4 linked regions of the Caenorhabditis elegans genome follow. The protein of the gene in region 4 interacts with the protein of the main gene of each other region in a pairwise test. Each region holds a gene or a part of one and is shown on either strand. Other genes may lie near its edges.

Evidence for each region.
Region 1: the proteins of ceh-9 (region 4) and dpff-1 interact in a two-hybrid assay, tested with the Caenorhabditis elegans proteins (one large-scale study listed by BioGRID).
Region 2: the proteins of ceh-9 (region 4) and ztf-13 interact in a two-hybrid assay, tested with the Caenorhabditis elegans proteins (one large-scale study listed by BioGRID).
Region 3: the proteins of ceh-9 (region 4) and lir-1 interact in a two-hybrid assay, tested with the Caenorhabditis elegans proteins (one large-scale study listed by BioGRID).

What each region holds. Positions count from the first base shown.
Region 1 is NC_003281.10:5,902,065-5,908,763, reverse strand, and holds dpff-1 (Zinc finger protein dpff-1), read left to right. Parts: upstream 1-2,641; 5' UTR 2,642-2,648; coding exon 2,649-2,731; intron 2,732-2,857; coding exon 2,858-3,111; intron 3,112-3,149; coding exon of another isoform or gene 3,150-3,161; coding exon 3,162-3,367; intron 3,368-3,416; coding exon 3,417-3,519; intron 3,520-4,311; coding exon 4,312-4,401; intron 4,402-4,448; coding exon 4,449-4,681; intron 4,682-4,732; coding exon 4,733-4,882; 3' UTR 4,883-5,201; downstream 5,202-6,699. Other genes in the region: putative helicase C28H8.3, read right to left, coding at 1-3; ER lumen protein-retaining receptor erd-2.2, read right to left, coding at 574-780, 1,228-1,470, 1,515-1,706. UniProt on the Caenorhabditis elegans protein: Probable transcription factor, involved in meiosis and stress protection.
Region 2 is NC_003284.9:3,098,879-3,104,854, forward strand, and holds ztf-13 (C2H2-type domain-containing protein), read right to left. Parts: upstream 3,402-5,976; 5' UTR 3,282-3,401; coding exon 2,862-3,281; intron 2,798-2,861; coding exon 2,573-2,797; intron 2,522-2,572; coding exon 2,367-2,521; intron 2,321-2,366; coding exon 2,203-2,320; intron 1,732-2,202; coding exon 1,603-1,731; 3' UTR 1,288-1,602; downstream 1-1,287. Other genes in the region: sec-3 (Exocyst complex component 1), read right to left, coding at 1-78, 130-228, 656-783, 830-959; K10B3.5 (C2H2-type domain-containing protein), read right to left, coding at 4,719-4,832, 4,886-5,051, 5,342-5,556, 5,613-5,804, 5,865-5,976.
Region 3 is NC_003280.10:7,669,868-7,676,128, reverse strand, and holds the start of lir-1 (LIn-26 Related), read right to left. Parts: upstream 4,125-6,261; 5' UTR 4,087-4,124; coding exon 4,021-4,086; intron 1,266-4,020; exon of another isoform or gene 1,130-1,265; intron 1-1,129. Other genes in the region: lir-2 (C2H2-type domain-containing protein), read right to left, coding at 4,335-4,419, 4,999-5,418, 5,470-5,650, 6,214-6,261.
Region 4 is NC_003279.8:563,872-569,219, reverse strand, and holds ceh-9 (Homeobox protein ceh-9), read left to right. Parts: upstream 1-2,631; 5' UTR 2,632-2,828; coding exon 2,829-2,979; intron 2,980-3,339; coding exon 3,340-3,527; intron 3,528-3,675; coding exon 3,676-3,780; 3' UTR 3,781-3,936; downstream 3,937-5,348. Other genes in the region: Y65B4BR.1 (Lipase_GDSL domain-containing protein), read right to left, coding at 4,110-4,611.

The sequences.
Region 1 (6,699 bases), on a different chromosome or scaffold from region 4:
CATCGTTCTCGAATTTATATCGAATTGATGAACCCTTTCCAAAGAATAGTAAGCTGACTTATTCCTGAAATCAATATTTTAAAATCAATCATCAACTAGAGGAAAGAAAAGGAAGTTTAGCTCGTTTCTTTCAAGTCTAAGACATAATTTTAAGATGAGCAATTGGATTAGGGATTAAGGTCTCGCACGGAAGAGACAAATCGTTGCAAACTATTTTCGTATCACGAACCGATCAATAACTTTTTTTAAAACAATATGCAGCACGGTAAGCGAACCGAACGAAGAAAACTCATCAACTCCATCAAAAAAAATCCAGAAAAATTCATTATTTATACATTAAATCTCTATTTTAAAAAGCTGAATAAATGGATATCTTTGGAAATCCCCCATAAAAATCATCACACAGAGAAATAAATTAACGGAGTTTGGCGGGCACACATTCTTATTATTTCCCAACAATCAAAAAGAAGAAAAGTAAAAGTGACCAGACTTAGTGTGAATTATAACGCCAACTCCGTAAAGATTAATATAACCTCGTAGGAAAAAACGTCAAAAAGGATGGGAATCGTTCGTTTAGATTGGGAGCTCCATACCCTTACGGGTTTGGACGACACGGGTGACGTAAAGATAGAAGAAATCGGCGTAGAGAACAGTTTGTACAATTCCGGCAACAACGACAATTGGATCGAAATAGTCCTCGGTGTAGTAGCGGTAAATCCAGTTGAAAATGTAGAGAGCGCGGTAGGAGCCAAGAGCGAACAAGTAGTGAGCAGTGATGACCTGGAAGAAGAAACGATGAATATGGGAGAGAGATAGAAGGCTCAATTTGTGGCCTGGTGTCTGCGTCTCTACACCAAAATGTCTAATCCAAAAGAAATTAAGAAAAAAAGATGTCGAGTGTTTGCAAACAACACAGTAAAACTTATGAAAAGAATGGATTAACTTTCAGTCAAATTTCATCAGGTTGTTATATTAGCAAAGTTAAAAGGCTGACGAATCAATTTGGACTACAGCGGAGATGTGCGCGAAATTCGGAATACGGGGAAAACGGTTGGAATCGGGAGAAACGACAATTTCTAAGCACAACAATTTTCTTGTACTATCTCCAATTTTGCCATCTCTGGATTTTACACTTTTTTACGGCATGTCGAATTGAGAGGGAAAATTTTGCACGCTGAAGTCAAATTTGGCGCATTTATTGTATTATTTATTATTTTCCAGATTTACCTCAGCGGAACCGGTAGACTGGAGAAGGAAGAGTTGTGGAAGAATGGCCACAGCCTCCAAATAGATCGAAAAAGTCCAGAGCAACTCAAATGGAGCGAAATCGTGATTGATGAGAAGAGCGAGGATCGCAGCTGGGACGATGAGAAGCTCGACACGGAAGGTATCCGACTCGCGCATGTAAGTTGAGCGGAATTTGAAGAACATCAGATACACTGTGGCGTACGTAGCGGCGAGGAAGGTGATCTGAAATTTGATTGTATTTATAATTGTTACGGACAGAAAGTTACCTTCATTGTAGTGTTATACAAAGAAATGTATGTGGAGAAAAGATCCAAGTATCGAGCAGTGAACACGAGAGCGAACAGAATCTGCGACCGCGCAGAGATTCCGGAGCACGATCTGCTCTTCCAGATTTTGAGCAGAAGGATGATAATCGCAAGCAAGTGCGACATATCTGCCGATATACGGAAGATGTTCATGATGACCCTAAAAATTATCATACTTTGAGAATTTAGATACATACATCAGGTAAAGAAAAGAAAACGCAAATATGAAATGAATTGGAAAACACCTATTCATTCCAGTGAATGGGTATGTTTTCAATTATCGAGGTCAACGTTGTTTATCAAAAGATAACGGATAGAGTGATAGGGAACAGAGAAAATTATATTATATGGACGGTAAAGTTCCGGAGAACGAACAGAAATGGTTTAGAGTTTTCCTTTCGCAGACAAAAAAGAGTGCAATAAAAGCCAGCACTGAATGTGCCACGTGGGAATTTTGAAAAATGCAAATACAACGCAACGAAGCTAAAAAGGTTTACTGAAAAAAACTAAAAAATGGAACTTAAAACATAAAGACAAAATTTTTAAACATTGAATGCAAAAACTACGTGTATTTACAGTTAAAAAACACATAACCCTGCATTCAACAAAAAAACAAACATTTCGATTCGCTAGGTAAAATGCATGGAAATATTCTATGAAAACTAGAATGTTTGAATAGAGCATTTTGTTCGAACGTTCTGAATACCGAATGTTTTTTTTTTGTTTTCGAAAGACCTAGATTTTCTAAAATTGTAGGCCTACATGAACTTTTCAACCATTTTTTGGTATTCACATAATGCGTAGCTACATATTAATCAATTATCGCAAAAAATTTAAACTGTTTAATTGAAAAACGAAACGTTTTAGGCCGGAAACGAAGAAGAAAACTCGAGCCAAAAGGTCCATCAGCCAACGAGTCCACGCTGGACAATACGCAATTTCGCGTGTTGGTGTTTGCGTACATCGGCAGCTGTCCAATTTATCGATCAGTGTTCATTCATTCTCTTGTTTTTTTTGTTTGTTCACACCGGGCGCCCGATTTCTTGAGCTATCAAAATGTTTAAAAATAATCCAAGACAGCTAATCTTACAGACAATGATCTCGGAAAACGGATATATGGACCTGATGCGGAACTGCATTAAATGGAATTCCCGGCAAATGGAGGATCGTAAAAAACGGTTAGTTATTGATGTTTCGGCTACTTAAAAAAGATCCATTTGAAATCTGAATAATCTAAGTAATGATAAATCTTTAGAGCATTTAGGAATTATTTTTTGGTTGTACTAAGCCCCTAAAAGTTGCAGACTGCGGTTCCCATACTATGAACATCAAACGGCTACGGCCCAGCGAGAGTCTCGCTTCACAACCCGCAACGTGGATCACATGTATCCATCAAATGATCCAAATACTGTTGTTCAATTCGCAACCGAGAGATGGAAGAAGAGCAAGTCACAGCCACCATCTGATGCTGTTGAGATGAGCATGTTTTTGCGTGAGAATCCGTCTATTCAGGTTGCAATTGATCATCTCACTCCACAAGTTGTCGGACCAACAACTGGTGAGAAGCATCAGAACGATTCAACCTAATTTTTGTAGTTCGATTTGCAGAAAGTGTTTCTGATAGTTCGAACGACTCAACTACCATCAGACCATCCCGCCAAACACAGATCAAAGAGGAATATCGTGATGACTACGTTCTTGACGATGAGCTCTCTCCAGACGAGTTTGGCTCCGATGAAGATGATTGGTCGTCGCGTAAACGCCGTAAAGGCAACTTGGGGCCTGTTCAGAAAGCAACTTCGTCACGTAAAAAGGTTTCTTTATTTATTCAATTGTTTAAATAATTTTATTCTGACTGTTTAGGTACCAACAACTCGTTCCTCTGTCTCTCGATTGACCCCATCTCGTTCCATAGTGAAGGAAACAAAATATGAAGAACCGGAGGAGAAGACGTATCCATGTGACAGTGAGTGGTTGTACGGCGGATTAGCGAAGCCCTCTCGCCCAGGAGAACACACCATTCTTCTTGTCCTTTTTAGTCTTATTTGCCTCCCCCATCGCCCACAGCATGTCAGTTACCGGGAACACTATCATCATGATTTTTAGTTTAATTTTTCGTATCTTGATTCATTCGGTTTCGAGATTTTTCAAAAAATTAGGATGCTTGGAAATTGCACGAGATTATTTATGTTTTTGCATGCTTTAGTTTTTTTTTTAATTATGCATGTTTCTCCAGAGATCCAAGGAAAATTAAATCAAAAAAATGGGAAATTTGGTCTAAAAAATAAATTTTGGAAGATTATGTATGATCTTTTTTTAATATTAGTTTCATAATTAGTGGTGTGATTTGTAGTACTTCTTCACATAATTGTGGATCTTATCAAATGTATTAGCTTCCTTCCTCTCGTTATCAATTTGCACTAAGTCATAAGCCAATATGTATCCTGAATATCCCATTCTTATATCCCTCCTAGTATTTTATCCCTCTGTAAAAGAAACCTGGGCGAGAGGGACCTCAGTAAAAAATCCTGCGGCAACCGCTCAACTGATCAAAAATACATCTCTCCCACCCGGGACACGGGGTCTATCGAGAGGAAGTTTGTAGAAATATAGGCACTAAATTTAGCATGTACTGAGTGTTCCTGGAAGCTTATATGATGTGGCATAATGGGAAATCTGTGATTTGAAAATACTCTTTTCAAACCGCATATTTCCCAAGTCCTTTCGTTTGTAATTTAAAATTTTTGATAATTTTCAGAATGCAGCGCGAAATACAAAAGCCTCGCGGGTTTAAGCTATCATCAGTCGTATCTTCATGATCAAAAGTCTAGTCAACCACTGGTTAAGTGTAAGTTTTTTGCATTCCAAGCTATTTTCAAATGTATTATTTTTCAGTATTGTCTCCCAGTATAGAAATATCTACTAGCTGTGATTTCTGCAGCGGCACTGCTTTTATGAACAAAAATACAAAATTGCCAGAGGATCTCGTTAGTTGTCATGATTGTGGTCGTTCTGGTCATCCTTCCTGTCTTAATTTTAATCAAAATGTGACCAAAATCATAAAAAGAAGCGGATGGCAGTGTCTTGAGTGCAAGAGTTGCACCATTTGTGGTACAAGTGAAAATGATGTAAGATATTTTCTATTATATTTATAAAGTGCAATATTAATTGGATTTCAGGATAAATTGCTCTTCTGTGACGACTGTGATCGTGGATACCATCTTTATTGTCTGACTCCGGCGCTCGAAAAAGCTCCAGATGATGAGTATTCATGTCGGTTATGTCAAGTTGAATTCGGAGACAAAGCGAGTGCACCGGCCAAGAAGTAATGGTTCTCAAATATTATATTTATTCCAATATTTTTTGCATAATCTCGACCCGTTTGCTTACGATCCTCCCACACCGTCATCCGATTATTTATTCTTCATTTTCACTTGAACTTTAAGTATTATTATTACTACGTAATGGCTCATACATAGAGAAAAATTCTTGTTCTAAAAAGCCAGCCTAAAACCTCACTCACCCCTCCTTCTGCTACTTTGATTTCTCGCTCTTTTCTTTTTTGTACTTCCACATTTTCCTCGTCCTTTTTATTTATTTCAGTCTTATCATAAAAAAGTTCAATAAATACTATGATTCAAAATAAAACACATGTGAAGAAACTCGAACAATATTGGAAGTTTCAAAGAATCAAACGGAACATTGAAAATTCTAATTCAAATTACTATTTTCCAGTTTAATTGACAATTTTTTTTATTAACATCTTGGAGTACGATACAAGGTCTTACAACGATCGAATATATCCAAATGAAAAGAGATAGGCACCTTTAAGAAGTACAGTAACCTTCACGGCCCACTGTTTTGCAGTTTTCTTTCATTTAAGCTAGTTAAAAATATATATAATTGTTTAATTTTAGATAAATATTGTCACATCCAATAGGTTTTTAGAGTAAAAATTACAACAAATAAAATTGCAAAACCATGGGGCGTGGAGATTATATTTGGTCTTGTCGAGACCTGGTACTGTATTTTTAAGTGAAAATTGCAAACTTTCGTATCTGGGTAATATATCTAGTTTTAAAAAATCTAAAATTATCGTTTTAGAATGTTTAATTTACTTTGGTTGTTTCATAAAAAGAGAATTAACTGTTTGTATTCATTTTATTATCATTTTATCATCTTATCTGACCTACTACCATATAAATACCATAACATTATTTTATAACTTTCTCTATTCTTCTCTCTTCCAATATCTTTCACCCATTTATTTTACTTATTCATCGCCCAATTTTATGTCCCTTCTACTCTCCATTCTTTTTTGTCTTTTACTTGAAACAACACATATCGATTACACAATTGTGTTCTTTCTTAGAAATAAAAAAAAACATTTTTGTTTGTTTTTGCATCTCTATTTTCTCTTGCAGTTCTCCTCCTATCCCTCCAAATTTGGAGCTGATTCAATTTGCCGCCGGGGATCTCGGATAACTCTTTGAAGCCAAGAAGCTCAGACACACTTCCACTTCCGTCTCGTGTACTTTTGAAAGAGACTACTTTTAAACTATACTCGTGTACATTTTTGCAACAAAAAATAATGATCAGCATTTTTTTTTAATTTTATAAGTTTTGAAATAATAAATAATTCAAATCCAAATCACTCAAAAATAAACATTGGCTTCTTCACCTCCTCCTCACTTTTTCCAAAAAGTGATCGTTTTTGGAAAACCGCCGTTTTCCGTTCGAGTGCCTATTTCTTCCCTTTTTTTCGTTTTGTTCTTCTAAAAATTTCTCACCTTTTCAAGTGTTGACTTTTCTTTGTTTTGTTGTATTTTGAATGTTCAAAAACTTCGGTTTTTGTTATGTGGCCTCGAAAGGAGAAAACTCGGTCATTGTCTTGAAATAAAAACCGCACAGTTTCCCAAGATCCAACACTATTAAAAATTGCGAAAATTTCGTTAAAATCATTATTTGGCAAAAGCTTTACCGCTTATTTTATTGCAAAGTATTGCAAAGATATTGCAAAGTGACCGAGAAAAAAAACAGATGGCCTAGTTTTCCAAATAATTTTGAAACCCGTGAAGTTTAATCTGAAATATTCTGCCATAATTAATTTTTGTGATAATTCACCATTATACTTTTTCGAGGCAGT
Region 2 (5,976 bases), on a different chromosome or scaffold from region 4:
GGAGGTTTCTGATTCAAGTTGCGGTAGAGAGAAATTGCAGAAATCTGGCATCTGGACTGGAAGGTATTGGCATGACAACTAAAATACGAAATTTTCAGTAAAAAAGTTGAAAGTATTATAGTTGGATACCTTGTAGAGTTCTCGAATGAACTCGTCCTTTTCCTCAGCGGAACCAGCCAAAATCACATATTGATGATCACCGATAGTGATGTGGAACTCTGGTGATGCCTGAATTTTTTTAATGTTTGTCAGTTGAATAAAATTCTCAATTTTTTTTAAACCCAAAAAAACTTGAAGTAAATGCGAATTTAACTAATTGATAAGCCATTTTGTCAAAATAATTCCTGCAATTTGCATCATCTTTTCGACAAATTTAGTGTACAATAACTATTCTTTCAACAACTTCTCACCTAACTTTAGCTAATTGCAATTTTTACAATTGATAAAGATCGTTGAAAAGTTGCGGCAAAATGGCGAATTTTTAGCTATTTTAGGTTGATAAACTCCATCAAACATTAGTGTTCGTAAAACTTGAAAATCCTCAGTTATTCGAGAAGCTTCACATTTTTTGCGTTATGTTCTTCGTTACGCTCACATTTGCTCACTACATATATCGTATAAATTGCGTGAATCCATATAATTTTCAAATACTCACTTTTTTCGGATTTATTCCGTCGATTTCTCTGACTTCTCTCAAATTGAACCTGTCCTTCTTTTTGAATGTATCATCTTTCTCCCCTTTCACAAAGTATAAACGGACGGCGATGGGGTGCTCGATTGTGACTGCAAGTTATCGATTTTTATACAGGACAATTCCAAGAATTCTTACCTGCTAAACATAGTAGTGTCTGGTTTTTCTTCTTTTTTCCATCCAACTTTGAGACATTGACTATTGCTTGAATTCTTTCATCGTCTTTCTGGAAAAGTTGCCGCTGGATTATCTTCCTGATTGCAGACATTCAAATCTGAAATTGAAAATTTATATAATCACATTGATTAAGTAGAATAATAAAAATTTTAAACTTAAACCAAGCATTAAAAAAGAAAACAATAAAATCAGGGAATTGGAAACAGTTATGCCCAGTAAAAACATACGGAGTTATTCTGCGTCTCTGCAGTTTTCTGTGGTGACTAGTACACGAAAAACACGCCAGTGGCCGGTTAGCGTGCGCGTTTCTCGATGAACACCACTATTTATATTGCAATGCAGGGAAGCAAAAATAATTTTATTTGGTTTTATTTTTACACTTGCAAAAGATATAGTAATAGAATTGAAACGAATTGATTGACCTGAAAAGATTTATTTTTGGCAATTATTTAAATAGAACACGATTCCTAAAACGGACCGTAAAAAAATGACAATTGAAAGTTTTCAATTAGGAGAATCTGCAAAAGTAAAAAAGAAAGAAACAATAAATAATATTACACGGATCAGAAAAAAAACAACAGAGAGTTTGAAAAGGTCGTGGTTTTGATTTGGAAGTGACTTGAGGCATAAGTTAAAAGTAGAAAAAAAGTAACAGAAAACTTAAGTGAGACAAAAGAAAATGATTAATGACATGTAGCTATATTAAATCGGGGGTAAGTTTCAAAATGAGATTATCACTGAACAGCGTTTCTGACTGGATACATGGTGTAGTTGGTAGTAATCAAAGTGCGACGCAGCGGAAGTGGGCCTGCAGGTGGAAGTGTGTAGTTGCGGTTACGAATTGAAGTCGGGATTTTGATGATCTGATTTATTTATTAGTTTTTACAGTAAATTGTATTATCGCCCCTTTAAATTTTTTTTTATAAAACAAATGTGGACATATGTATATTTCAATACATTTTGTTACATTTCGCGACATTACTTGATTAGCCCCATTAGTAATTATTGTATTCTAAAGAAAAAACACACAAAATATGCTGGACAATCCGAATTTGGAAGTATTTTAAATCTTGGTAACTACTGAAACTTGTCCTATTAGACCTGCTAGCTTATATCTCGGTTGTCTTAAATTGTACCAAAAATAGTACAATGTCAATATGTTGAAAATTATTTTACGTAATTACGCAGTTAAAATGTTTTGATAAAATTAAAGAAAATCGAGATATTAGCTGTCAGCGTGAAGCAATCGGTGAGCAAGTCTAATAGTGATAATACAATATGTAGTAGTACCTTCTGACATGACAAGTAACTTAATGCATTTATCAAAATCTTACCGCTCGACCCTTTGAGTACGGAGCAGATCGCACAGTGTACTGCGGCTGACTTGCCGCCATTTTAGAGACGACTTCTCCAAGACTTTTTCCAGGTGGAACCGGTCGAGACGATTTTTTGCTAAAACGAAAAATATTGTTAAAAACCTAAATTTGGTAGTTCTTACAATTTGACTTGGGGCGGCATTGTGCTGAAAGTCAGTGTCTTAAAAACGGTCGCCGAGGGGACGTAGCTTTCCGAAGGCGAACGTTTTATGAATTTCCCGTAAATAAATGTATTTTTCATGCTCGACACAAAATCATCGTGATCTGCAGACTCCAGCTGAAAAAATAGTTCTGCTTTAAAAACTGCAAATTTAGAACTCTATCTAACCGTTGCCAATAAGTCGCTTTTAGCCTGATTGTAAACCACTAAGCCAATGCTACCCGACATAACTGCCTGCAGTTCACACTTTGCGTACGTGTAATATGCGGTTGTCATCACTGTTTGTTTGTCTCTGGTGAACAAGAATTCCTTTACAAAATCACTGGAACGGCGTGTGATGGCTTGCATCAGAAACGGGCCAGATGGTATTCGAGCATTTTGCATTGACTCACACTGCAAAAAAAAATGTATTTTAAGCGACCAATGTGTACGTTTTTTTTCTTTTTTTTTCTCTCACCACCGGCATCTCTCCACACCCGTGAGTCAGCATTGTGTGGTCACTGGCTTGTTGTAGAGTGTCAAAGTGAACATTACATTCGGAACAGAACCAATTAAACGACACGGGATGATTTAGGGTCTCGTGATGCTCCAAAGAAAATTGTGATACAAAATTTTCAGAACACGTTCCACAACGAAGCATTGCAAACTGACGGGATCTTGTTTTGGGCTCAGTTTTTTGCTCTTTGAGTTCCGTTTGAGGACGGTTCTCATTGAGCCGACGCTTTTGCAAAATTTGCAATTTCGAAGGAATAGGCGTCTCCTCCTGTGTGAAATAGTTCTTAATACCCGCGAAAAGTTCTTGGAAAACGGTTTCCAATGGTTCAGGCTCGAGTCCACTGATTAGTGGATCGTAGCTACTGTGCTCTTCACCAAACATGTTCCGTTTCTCACCCTTAAAGTAGACAGTATTGATTTGAGAAATAATCGAGCGGTTGGAATAAAAAGAGAATGGAAGGTTAGATGGGGGAACGCGAGGACGGGGAAATGCAGCGCGAGACCGAAAGAAAAAAAGATGGAGAAAAAGTACAAGTGAGAGGGTTCCGCAATGAGCAAAACCGTGTGATTTATCTGGGAATTACAATGGCAAAAAACACGAGATATTGTTTAAAGTATGATTCAAAGTGGAAACGTTATCAGTCAATAAACATTATTGAAGATAAGAGTGAAAGTGCAAAGCAATTAATAATCCTTATTTGCGACATAAACAAGGACTTTTTCAACACCAACAATGCATTGAAATAGTATTATGTAAGAAAAGCTCTAACTAGAGCTGTGTTGCTTGAAAAATTATAAAATTATATTAATAACCTTACAATACTGAAACAAAGCTAAATGAAAGCTATGCAATATATTTTTCATGAAAAAAAAGTTTCGTAACATATTCGTATACATTTCGGAAAATTTTGCAAAGTCTTTCCAGCATTGATTCTTCCACACTTTCTACATTTTCTACACATTCATAACAAATGTGACGGGGAGTGAGGCATTGAAAAAATGAAATGGAATAGAATATTAGATGATGTGTCTAGATGATGAGGTGTTTCCACAAAACGAGATGAACGTATGAGTGTCTCTCCCCCCCCCCCCCCCCCCCAACCAACTCGACGGGGATGGTCAGTGCTCTCTCATCGACTTTTGTGGTACGAGCCATTCAACGCGTGTGCTACTATCTCACTGTGGCCCACACGACGGCGGCAGTTATCGCCAAAGCCGTTCATGTCAAACCAATTGTGTGCGGTGGCCAATGCGGCCCTATCGATCGACCCAACAAACAGACGGCGAGGAGTAGTGTGAGCTGCTGCGTTGGCAACGCGGAGAGAACCGTTCAGCCTAGTGGTCAGCAGAGAAAAAAAGTAGATGAGACTTGACGCTTGAGGCGAACAATTTGCAAGACGCAAGGCAATGAGGGAAAAAATGAGGGAAATACAAAGAAAAAAACGAGATTTCGCATATTTTCAATATGAACATTTATTGAAACATTTGATACATTCACACATGAACAGGATAATTACAAAAGTATGATCATTAAAATATTAAAAGAAGAAAAAACGTCGGATAATGTTTTACAAGAAGACAACGTGATTTACGGAATGATCAATGAAAATGGTATTGAGAATAAGAAACCAGTCGATAATATTAAAACATGACAAAAATGACTAGATGTTGAAAACAATTGGGCGTACTAAAAATGATACAAATCTAAAAGTGACAGGGAGTTAGAAATTTAATCTTTACTCTGGACAAATTAATTGGGCTATCGAAAAAAAATGCATTACAATTAAATAATTTTCCCAAAATGAACAGCACACGGAATCTAGTTCAAATATCTGACAATTCCCGCTTCCGAATTCATAAGTTGAGGCTGAACGTCAGAAGATTGATAAGCGATGCCACTATTTACAGGTCGTGGTTGGGTTTTTGTGGAACTCTGAAATTTTAAAAGTTTTTGAAAGATCTATCAGTGTTGATTTTTCAACTCACAATGAGTCTAACGGTTGTTCCAGCTTTCGTTCCCGGCTTTAAGATGTAGCTAACTCGATTGTTGAAAGTAGCTGGAGTAAACTGTTTTTTACTGGGCGATTGCAAAACGATGTGTGGCATTTTTGGTCGAAAAACTGCCGCATCAGGTGCAACCGGTGGGTTTCTTCTGAAATTTATCTTGATTAGAATATTGGTCAGTGTTAATGAGAATATAATTGAATTGACACATCACACGTGCTACCAGGCTGTCCCATTATGGTTTGACCTACAAAAAATGCGGGATTTTTTTTCGCCTAAAAAAATTGACGTCAGCACAATCTTAAGCATGCGAAATCAGTTGAGAACTCTGTGTCTCTTCTTCCGCATTTTTTGAAGATCTTCGTAGATCAAGCCGGAATGAGACACTCTGACACCACGTGAACGTGACTTGACCAAGTGATTTTTAAAAAAACATACGCTAAATATCGATTTTGCATTTCCTCCGAGAAAAAATCGGGCTCATAGCAACGAATGACTTTGTACATTGGAACGGAGTTGATGGGTAGGCGGTGAACTGACGGGCCATAAATATAAGCTTGCTTGAGCAGGTCGTTGATGGAAGCTGATTCGTCGACACAAACTTTGCTAGCAGAAGCATTAGTAACTCCACTTTGACGCGAACCCACTGCTCGCTGTAAAAATTAAAAATTAAATTATGTAAAAATTAAAAATTAAATGTAACACTAACGTTTGCTAATGGGTTGAAGAGCACTTTGGCCTCCTTTTTGATAGTCTCATTGTCCTTCGTTGTACCGGTCAACTTGCCAGATTGAGCAAGATGGCTGCTCACAAAGCTCCATATCATTCCTGATATACGACGCTGTGAGGATTTTTTCCCGTAGTCTGATAGTGCACCGTTTCCGAATATGGCATTATCCAGCTGGAAACAAATAATTTGAATGTTATAAAAATCTGGTCAAAGTGAAAAAATATTTCTAACCAATGGAACAGTTTCTTTTCTATGTTCAGTTACGAGATGCTTGTTTATTAACCCGATTGTTGCAAAAATATCTGCACAAATTGTGCATTTGAATACAAATGCTTGAGGATGT
Region 3 (6,261 bases), on a different chromosome or scaffold from region 4:
GAAATTGTTATCAGAAAAAATCTAAACCACATGTCCTCTCAAGAGCTAGTCGTAAACATTCGAAGCTTGTGCCAGGTGACCTTGCATATTTGTTGCGCTTTTACAAAAAAGTAGGAATTTTTCAAAAAGATATATGACCTTGCACCTAATGCATGGATTAGTGATACTCGCCACATATTAGAAGCAGAAGCACACTGTAACTTCCTAGAATAAAACAGGTGATTCTCAAGATCTAGATACATATGTCTCACAACTCAAAAAGCTAATCCAAATTCTTGTGCACATGAAAAGTGAAAGTATAAGATGGGTCATGTAGACTAGCGTCTGTTTGACGAAGTGTGTTCATTGTGAGTCATAGAGAAGTGATTAGATGTTGTTAAAAGAAGGTAGTGGTCAACTTGCTACTTAACTTGGAAAATGCCAAAAATACAGCTTTGATCAAGGTTTTTTTTCTAAAAATCGCTACAATTTTTACCATAAATACTAGAGTACCAGTTTCATTGAAATTATCTGAAAGCTTTTCCAAATTAAACCTTACAGCAAAAAAAAACGATTTTTTAAATTTTGCCAATGACAACTTTTAGATACAATTTCACATTTTCAGACAATTTTTAAGAAATTGTTTTGCCTTAGTATTTGATAATTTTGAAAAAATGTCTTCCAAAACAATGCTAAATCTTCAAACAGCTCACTTGGAATTTAAAAAAGTTCCAAAACACCTATTCTACACATTTTGAATTTTTGATCGTATGCTCACTCCTACAGCAACCCATTCTTCTCTTCAGTACTCTCCAATCGTTCCTTTCCACTGATTTTTTGTTTGATGCACGGTGTTTAACGATTCCTCTGACATTGGTGGCTCTGACACAATGAAAATGTGTGATGGCCTCGCTATGTGATGCCCGACCGCCTCTGTGGTTGTAACTCAGCGATTCGAAAACCAGTTTGAGTGGTGCCCTCGTCTCGCATGCGCTCATCACTTCGTTTTCGTCGTCGTCGTCGCCTACAGCGCCTATGTCGATTTGTCGATTCTATTGTGTGCAATAATGGTTGAACGACGAGTGAATCACGTTGGTAGAACGAATCCGATTTAGACAAGCGTGTGTGCGCACAAAACGATTTCATCTGAATTGGCTCCAATCGGGGTCGATTTATAGAGCGGAGAGGAGGTCGCACCATTTCATCAACTTCTTCCGTCGTCCAACCGTTCACAGAATTTAGGTCATCGCGAGCCGAAAGTGCGGGTGTACGTCTTTGCGGCCTCGACGGGTGACTTTACGGAGATATGCATTCGCTCCTTGGACATGAAGAAGGAGAAAGTCATGGATTGGAATAATATGCGCTACGGAGGAGTGAGAAAGATCACGGAGACGACTAATGCGCACTGTGCGCGAATGTTCCCATAATACCATAAACTCAGAGAGAAAAGACGACACGGATACTCTAACAGGATCTTCGGAACATTTAGTAATACGTTACTTTGAGTTAAAAAGAAAACGATAGCACATTTTTTAACTTTTCAAAAAAAACTCAAAACAACGAAAAAAATTCTACTCGAGTACTTTAACTGCTTAATTAGTCGATAATTTTTTGAAAACCATTCAAAAATTCTTCTAGATTTTGAGCAATACTTCCTACCATAAAATCTCAGAATGACGTATCCCAGGTCAAAACTTTAGAAGACCCTTTCACTCTCACTTCACATAATGCACAATTTGACCTTATTTCGGACACTCACTGGGCGAAATCGCGTGAGAATGAATTGGAGTCAAGAGCGTCTTGTAGAAGTGAACAAAGAATTAAGAAATAAGAAGGAGTTTCATTTTATAAGTACGGATAGTCAATGAGTGGAAGCAATGAGGACTCGTAAAGACGATTATTGTAATAAGGGGATAAAGAGTCTATACTATAGAAAAAAGAGAAGTCTGCAGACTTAAGGTTAAGTGTAGTGACGGAAAAGTGAAAAGTCGTATCAAAAAAGATGCACAATGATACCGTCAGACTGACGATGTGCTCGATTTTTATGGCTTCGGCTCCACCGGCAATATTTGCATACACCACACACACACACACACACACACACACACACACACACACACACACATTCTAAGCATTGTGCTGCGGTTTTATAATATCGGACACCTTACCACCCGCTTTCAAACCGGGATGCTTAGAAGGTGATAGAAGAAATGGTGTTAACAGCGCTCACACAGTTTTGTTGTTGGTTGCGCTCGCCGGGGCACACGACAACGGCGACAACGACGCGACGAGTACAGTTTTGTCAGTTGTGTGCATTGTGCATACAGGCGCTCAATACCCGGTATGGGAGAAAGAGAAAGGGATGGGAGAAGACGATGATGGAGAACAGGAGGTATGTACACTTCGGACGATGCTGAAAGTGAGGCAGGCGCCAACGCGTTCTATTATGAGCTCGTACAGGCAAAAATGTATTCGTAGAATAGAAGAAAAAGAAAGACATTGTGATGAAATATAGATTATTCAATTACAAGATTAGTTCGGACAGAAATACCAGAACTAAATGGAATTTTAATGTTTCAGGAAAATTATTGATTAATTTATATTTTTAGTTATTGTCGCTAATGATTTTAGAATTTAGATTTAAAAAATCTCGATAAATGAGCAAACCTGTCAAATGCGAAAATTAACCAATTTCCAGTATCAAATATAGAAATATTTCGAAAAAGGGTAGAGGATGATACTGAGAGAAAGAAAACGGACGGTTGCTCCGTGAACAGAAACATTCAAATCCTCCGTTCAACATATACTATCTCTCGTCGATGAAAGTAGCATCACCGTGTTGCTCGCATAAATGGAAAAGGGAACAGAGCGAACAAAAAATACGGACGCCGATGCAGCAGTTGGCTGCAGCTCTTGCTTCCTTTCTGCACATTTATGAGAGCGCCACGACGATTGATTTCATCGATCTCTTATGTACAGGAGAAGCACCGAAAAAAGGAGCTATATATGTCGAATTCGAAATGAGCATCGTGCGAAAGAAAGAGCTTGGAATTGAGAGATCATTGATAGAGTAGAGGTTTTAGGAGAAATATAAAAAAAATGTTTGCAGTGATGTTCAAGCTAGTCTATACTTCAAAAATCTGATTTCTAAGAGAATAGAAGTTATAGGTTATGTTGAATCCCTACATTTTAGGATCAAGGGTGTCGCTTTTTCGGTTTTTTTTGTTGGAAATTCAACAAATTTTGGTTTTTTGATTTTTCGAAATTTCTCAAAAATTGCTCGAAATTTCAGCGCCTGGGCTTTTTTTAGAAGGAAATTATATTTTCTTTTGTGTTTTATATTCAACAAAATTAAATTTTGATTTTTTTTTCGGAAAACCAAAAAAGTTCGTTTTTCGATTATCTCTCAAAAAAATTGGCATTTTTAGACAAAAAAACTAAAAAATTTATTTTTCGAAATTTATCAAAATTTAACAAAAATTGCTCAAAAAAAAGTTAGATTTTCGATTATTTCTCAAACAGAAAAATTGACATTTTTTAAAAGAAATCCTTGGTTAGCATCAGACCGCACTTTTTTTCGGATTTTGGAAGAGCGAAAAAACGGAAAAAATTTGTTTTCGATTTTCAGAAAAAAAGTTTTTATTGATTTTCAATTACACTTAAAAAATTGTAAAGTCCAAAAAAAATAATAAAATCTCGGTTACTTGTTTGAAAAAAAACTTTAATCAACTTAAATTTTGAATTCCGTATAAGAAAAGTGTTTTCAAATTTTTTTTCGATTTTTTCTTTAAAAAAAAAACGGAATTTTTCGTTTTTTTTTCAAAAGTGAATTTTTTTGGATTTTCTCAACAAAAAAAACCGACAATTTTTTCAGCGGCACCCTTGTTTAGGAAGTCGATTCGAATAATTAGGGGATACCAATGGTTAATATGGACCGAAAAAGGAATCAGAGGTACAATTGGAAGTTCTATGCAAAGTTTCAAACCAGAGAAAATGAGTAAATCAATATTTTAGATAATTTTTATAAATAAAAAAACTCACGCAATAACTGAGAAGATCGATCGTTGCTGCATCATCGTTCAGTTCGATGACCACAAATTTCGGCATCCCGGCCGGGTTCGAATCGTACGAAGACGACACCTATGTATATTATTTATATTATTAGGAATTACAAGAGCACGATAAAGATATTCAGAAATAGAAATAACTATTTAAATAAGAAAAAAGAAATTACCACAAATAATAAAAAGACCGACGATTTTATTGAAAATCGAGTAAGAACAAAATTTGCGTTGTAAAACTTAAAATTAAAAGAAAATATTATAAATATCAACGAAAAAAATTTAAAGAAACTATTAAATTTTTGCTTCTTTTCCATATTGATGATTCGGGAAACACTTTGCCATTGTATCCAGCCATTCTTTTCGTACTTCTGGTGTTCTGAAAAAAATTGACTTTGTAAGATTTTTTTATTTTGGAATGAAACGAATTAAATTCAGTTTTCAAATGGACATCGTCTGAATTGGATTTTATTCAAACATTTTTAATTTTTTTTAATGGAGCGATCTTGCGACAGAATTGAATTTAAAAAAAAAATTAAATATGCTCTTTTGAAACATTTTTAGTCTAAAATATGATCTAGAAAAAAAAATTTCTAAAATTTACATTTTATTCAAAATTTCAAATCTATTTTTGCGGGTTTATGCCAAAAATAAATTTTTGGCTTATCCTCACATTTGGATAAAATTACCATTTTAAATAGAATGGAAAAAAAAAATCTTGCGGTGCAGCTGCAACATTAGTAGCAATTTTCGTAATTTATAAAACAAATTGCGTACATTTTAAAATAATTATACAATTAAAACAGAAACCGGCTTTCATGCTTTTCGAGTGAGATTAGATAAAAAAAAATAATCTCAGTGAATTAGTGATTCAACTAAAAAAGAGCTGTCGCACAATTTTTAAAATCTTTAAAAAATAATTTTTTTAAAATTTTTTAAATTCAAAATAAAAACTCACATCATATTCACAGGTTCGTGTTCCGAATTGTGTTGTGATTGTCCGTGCTGCTTTACACGAACTTTTCGTACAGCTTGATATGGACATTGGGAACATTTGAATGGTTTATGAGTGGAGTGTTTCATCATTACGTGTTCAAAGAAATTCCATTTAGAACCACCAGAATTCAGGCGAATTCCAATTCCACAAATCTCACAAATCGCTGTGACTACATCTCCACAAACACTTCCAGAACTTCCACATGATTTCATTCGTTTTGGAGATGGGGAAACTTTTCCAAAAAGTGCCAAACCAGTCCGTATAGCTTCAGTTGCTAGTTGTTCTTCCAATTCAGCAGTTTGTTCATCAACTTCTTCACTAAATTCATCATCTTCGTCATTGCAAGGTTCCAGTTTAACTTCTACATCAACACGTTCCACTCTGAAATTGAAAAAAAATTATGAAATGAAAATTCTAATTTATTAATTCTACCTGCTCTTGATTGAATTCGTCATGTCCAATTGTGATACAGGGGAAACCGGCAATTCTTTGTTAGTTGGTGGAATTGGTGTTGACCAAAATGGTGTTCCATCTCGAGAAATCTCATCTGTTTCAGGTTCATGTTCATAGTTGGAATATTCTACCGTATCGAGTCTAGGCGCTCGAGGTATACCTGAAAAAACGGTTAAAATGTTTTATTTAATTTAAATAACAGCTGCAATTAAATTAATGTGATAATTTTCTGATGAGAAATAGGAAAATTGTTAGTTTCATCTCTCAATTTCCGTTTTTCGGTCATTTTTTAAATTTTTTAAACGAAATTTCTTCTTTTTTTAGTGAATCTAATTTTCTCGTTTTTGTTTCGTTTTTTAATCGATTTTCCGAAATTCGAAAAAAATCCGAAAAAGAATATATTGATTTATCGATTTTTCAATTTTCGTTGTTAAAAAAACCTAAATTTTTCTTTTAAAAAATAAAGAATTGTTCATAATTTCCGATTTTTTTTATTTTTTAAAAGAAGTTTCTTATTTTTCTCATCGAAATCAACATATTTTGGATAAAACAATAGTTTTCTCGACTTTTTTTCGGACATTTCTTTCATTTTTCTCGATTTTGCGATGTTTTATTTTCAGTTTTATCTGAAAAATACTGAGAATCAACAAAAAAAAACGGAAACTTTTTTGATTGTGACGAATTCGCTTTTTAAAGACAATTTGGGAAGTTTTTTACACTGACCAGTTCTGATAGACGATGCCACCATATCCGAACTTCCGATGTGCTGAA
Region 4 (5,348 bases):
GTAATTTTGAAAAATTTGACTTTTGAAAATCGTTAATTTTGGTTATAAAGAAATTAACAAAGAAATTTTATAGTATTTGGCTTTTTAAAAATTATATTTTTGAAAGTTTAGCCATTTTTAGAATTTTAAAAATTAAGAAAAATTAAAAAATTAAACTGAATTTTCATAGAAGAGTTTTCTAACACATAGGCCAGGTAGAGAAAGCCAAAACATGCCATTTTTCCTCCCAATTTCCACTTTTTCATATACCTTCAAACAATTATAGCCAAAATGAGCACTTTGAGCTGGTGCCAAGTGCCAGGCGTGAGAATATCACAAGTGTATAATCAAAGCGGAGAACTCTTTATTTTTCAAATGTTTCCTTGGAAGTATATAATACTCATACGGGTGTGTGTGTTTTAATGTTCAGCATTTTAGGTATTGATAAAATAAGTTCAAGCTAGAAATTTTCCTTGTTTTCCCAAAAAAAAATTTTTAAGGTGGGGTACCGAAATCTGGGAAATATTTTTGAATGAATCCTAATTTTCCCCTGATTCCGAGTATCTATGTGAAAAAATTCAAAATTCAAAACAAGTTTGCCAGATTTTATATTTAAGCTTGAAATCGCCGAATTTCATTTGTATCCCGGTCTCTTTTTTAAATACGCGCTCAAATAAATTAGCATTGGAGCGCGCTTGCATTGTTTGATTTTTTTTCGTTTTTTTACATTTTTTTCAGAAAAAAAAAACCGACAAAAATGAATGAAACTGGTTTTAAAAAAATTGAATTCGGCTAAAATAAAAAAAACTAAACGAAAAAAAGTCAAACGATGCACGCGCGCGCTAATTTATTTGGGCGCGAGTTTGAAAAAAGTGATGCGAGTACAAATGAAATTTAAAAAAAAAAAATTTTTATGAAAGATTTCAAGCTTAAATATAAATTCAGGAAATTTTTTTTGAATTTTTTCACATAGATATTCGGAATCAGGGGAAAATTTAGGGTGAATTAAAAATATTTCCAAGATTCAAGTTTTTTTGGTTAGACCCTTATTAATTTTTGCGTGCTGACGTCACAATTTTTCTGGAAAAATATTCCCGCATTTTTCGTAGATCAAACCGCAATGAGACAGCCTGACACCACGTGTATCGGTTTATTTTTAAGATACCACATGGAAATTGACAAATTCTCGATTCACCATGACTAAAACTAGAATATTAATAAAATTTTAGCTATAAGTATTTGTCTGTTGCTTCTCGACAAAGCTGTAGAAAAAGTTTCGAAAAATTGAATTTTTGAATTTGAATTTTTGATTTTTTTGATCCCAAGTTTTTTTCCAGTTCGTTCCAGTAATAATTATATATATATCTAGGCAAATAAATCTCCCCTCGCTTGAAATAAAAAAAAATAAACTCAAGACATATCAAATAAGCAATCAACTTTCATGTCCGCTATATAAGGTCTGAAACATTTATGGAAAAAGTTTGTTTGCCACAAAGATTTATTCGTTGACATTTTTTAAGAATGTTCCCAAGATGGAAGTCATGAATTTATACTTTCTTGGAATAATTTTATTACCAACTGTTTTCTGATTTTTTTTTGGTTAAAAATGTCCCCCCGTCTCATTTCATTTTCCCGCTAGAATATATTTTTTCTCCTGCAACCTATAAACTTCCGATAATTGATGATATTTAAATAAAAGTGTTCAGTGATATTACGGAAAAAATGCAAAAACCTCAAACTTTCCAAAATAACGTACGACTTTTTAAAAGTAAGTAATTTACATTTAACATGCGTAGTATTATGTTTCTCTAGTTTTACATTTTCCTCAAGTTCTAATAGGAATATATCAAACTTCAAAAGAAATTTAGAGCATTTGGGAGCAATTTGGGCTCGGAAAATTTTTTTGGTTTTTTTATTGTATTTTTAAATTAAAAAAAAAAGAGCCGTGAAATTGCTCAAAAAAAAAAAGGTTTTTTTGCGTGCGGGTTGCATATCCTCATTTTAAAAGTAATTTTTTAGGCTATAAAAATATAAACTTGTGAAAGATATGTTTTTTTCTGGATTTTGTGAATTTCTGGAAATTTCTCTTTCTTTTTTTTCTACCCTTCCCTCACCCCCGCCTGAGCTTATTCTGAAGCCAACACCTAAGCCTAAGCCTAAGCCTAAGCGTAAGCCTAAGCCTAAGTCTGAGCATAAGCCTAAGCCTCAGCCTAAGCCTCAGCCTAAGCCTAAGCCTAAGCCTAAGCCTAGGCCTAAATTTAAGTGTAGCCTTAAGTCTAGACCTAAGCCTAAGCCTAACAATAAGCTTATACTCAGTAGACATCCTTACAAAATTAATTCGATTTCCATGAAAAATTGTAGATCAACCTTGCTGGTCTATTCAAAAGGTTTTTTTCAAATAATTGAGGTTATATTTGAAAGTCCAAGTATTACAAATTAGCACAATAATATCACATGTGCCTCCGCTACTCCAAAATTTCAATTCAAATATTTAAGTTCAAGAAAAGTATTTAATAGTCAAGTATGAGAAACTCATTCCCTCAATTGCATCAAGTATCATCCCTTACCACCAATCCTCCTCTCCCCCTCCTCCTTCTCGAAATCCGGTCTCTTATTCAATTTGCTGGCTCATGCTCTTTTTGTCATCATCTCAGAACTCACCCATCTTCTTCTTCTTTCCACACCAATTGCGCAATCATTGTCGACCACTTTGGCAAATTGTCGTCGTCGTCAACCGTCAAAAGTCCCCCGAGAGTCCAGAATTTCAATTATTTGATTGAAGAGAAGGCGGGGACCTCGAGACCTACTGTATAGAGAAGTCTCTCAGAAGTTCTTTTCATTCGTGCAAAATGGAAACTGACTTGCTCTTCCAACTACTTCAACCCTATTTTGCACTGTTGACGTCTGATGTGAAGCCTCAGAGAAGAACTAGTCACCTGATAAAGGATATACTTGACTTACCAACTGTTAATGGAGAAATTGATGAATTTGGAAGATGCAGTAAGTTGATTTCTTTGGATTAGGTGTATGAAGTTTTGTAGTTGAAAAATAGACTAGTTTTGGGCATGGTGCATTTGAGGTGAAATACTATTCTTTTTGACATGGTGCATCGATTCGTATTTTCTGTAATAGTATTTCACTGGCCTTTTTTTGAGTAAAAATTACAAAAATTACAAGACACAATTTTTATTTCCTTTACTCTCAATTTTTGTTTTAAAATATTAGAAAATCTGAAAAAAATTAAAATGTTTTCGAAATTTTGGAAAAAAAATTTTTTGGAAATTTACTAATTTTGTTCAATGAATTTCGGAAAAATGCTACACGTAGAAAAATAATCAGCCGTTAAGAATATTTTTTCAGAATCCAGCCTCGACCAAGCCAAAGAGTCTCCTATAGAAAAATGTCAAAAAACAAAGAGAAAGAAGGCGCGGACGACATTTTCCGGGAAACAAGTATTCGAACTGGAGAAGCAGTTTGAGGCGAAAAAGTATTTGTCAAGTAGTGACAGAAGTGAGCTTGCAAAACGATTGGATGTCACGGAGACGCAGGTAGGCACGCAGCGCGGCACGCAACGCGGCACGCAACGCAGCCCGCAACGCAGCACGCAACGCGGCACGCAACGCGGCACGCAACGCAGCACGCAACGCAGCACGTAACGCGGCACTCAACGCATAGCTGAAATTTCTCAAATTCCAGGTGAAAATCTGGTTCCAAAACCGGCGTACCAAGTGGAAGAAGATCGAATCGGAAAAGGAAAGATCTGGAGAAATACCGGATGATCAGATTGTGAAGCCGCAATAATTTTATGTTGTTTTTATTTTTCAAAGAAAAAGTCGTGATATATCCCCTTCTATGAAATCCCGTGAACAATTAGTATTTCCAGTATCTTTTTTTCAAAATCAAGATCTCTTCCTTTACCTTGATCTCCATTCTTCTAATAAATAATTATTGCAAAAATATTTACTCGCTCTATTGATAGCTATATTGTGTACTCCACGTGGATATTTTTATTGAGGGTGCTCTTTCTTTTATGTCTCACACGTTAAAAATTAAAGATTACACGATAAAACATTTTATTGCAGACCCGATAAGTACGTCAAATTACACACACAAACACAATTTCCTACAGTCTAGGCAGTCATATATTTCGAGCAGTCAACACTGTTCTTAGTTGTTCTGAAGAATGGGCACTTGGTGTCTGGGCAGTTTAGTGGAATGGTAGGATCTGACAGATTGACTTGATGGTTCTTGGATCCGACTGGTTGAACGATATTGTTCCACAAGTGCTTGGCAACATTGGCGTGGCCTAGTTTTGAGAAATGGAAGCAATCCGGTGCAAACCAATCCAGATTGACTTCTCCGTCGGGCTTGAGTGGTGGAACTGTGATTCCATTGAAGAATGGTTGAACGACAAATGTAAAGTCATCTGTTGAGTCGAAGATTCCCGAGTCTTGAATCTCCTGCTGAGCATCCATGTAAAGATGGCAGGCAGCCGAGATGTCGGTATTCGGGAAGTCCTTGTTCTTCTCGCATGGGCACTCGAACACATGGAGGCCGTCGCAGAAATACTTGTCGTGGTCGATTTGGCGAAGCATGGCCATGTCGAACATTCCGGTCATGGATACGATGGTTCTGGAAGGACTTGGTATTGATGGCATAGTTATGGACCATACTCCTCTTTTTGAAAAAAAAATTTCCATAAAAAGCCGAAAAATGTTGGCTCTTATTATCGAAAAATACGATCGCAAATTTTTTTCATAATTAATTTTTGATCTACCTTTGGAAGTTGACTCTGCCCACGTGGTGTCAGAGTGTCTCATTTTGGCTTGAATTACGTTGATCTACAAAAAATGCGGGAGAAGAGACGCAGAGTTCTCAACTGATTTTGTATGGTTAAGAACGTGCCGACGTCACTTTTTTTTTGGGCGAAAAATTCCCGCATTTATTGTAGATCAAACTGTAATGGGACAGCCTGGCACCACGTGTTTGCCCATAATCTTGTTGCCGTTGTTATTTTGTTGTGGCTGTCTTGTCGAAGGAAGGGGAGGAGCCTAGTCAACAAGGTAGATCAAAAATAAGTTACGAGAAAAATTTGCGATCGTATTTTTTCGATAATATGTTTAACTTTAATTTATAATTGGCACGGAAACGGCCACAATTTTAAAGATTTTTTTGCGCCACTGCTATGGGATCAAGGGTGTGCCAAATTTCCCGAATTTGCCGGTTTCCGAGCAAGGCAAATTTCAAAAATTTGGACATAATTTGTAATTTGCCACAAATGTTTAACAACTTAGTTTTTCCATCAACTCGGTACTTTTTGAGCACCAAAAAATGATGCGCTTTACCGAGTCCGACAACCACGGCAAATT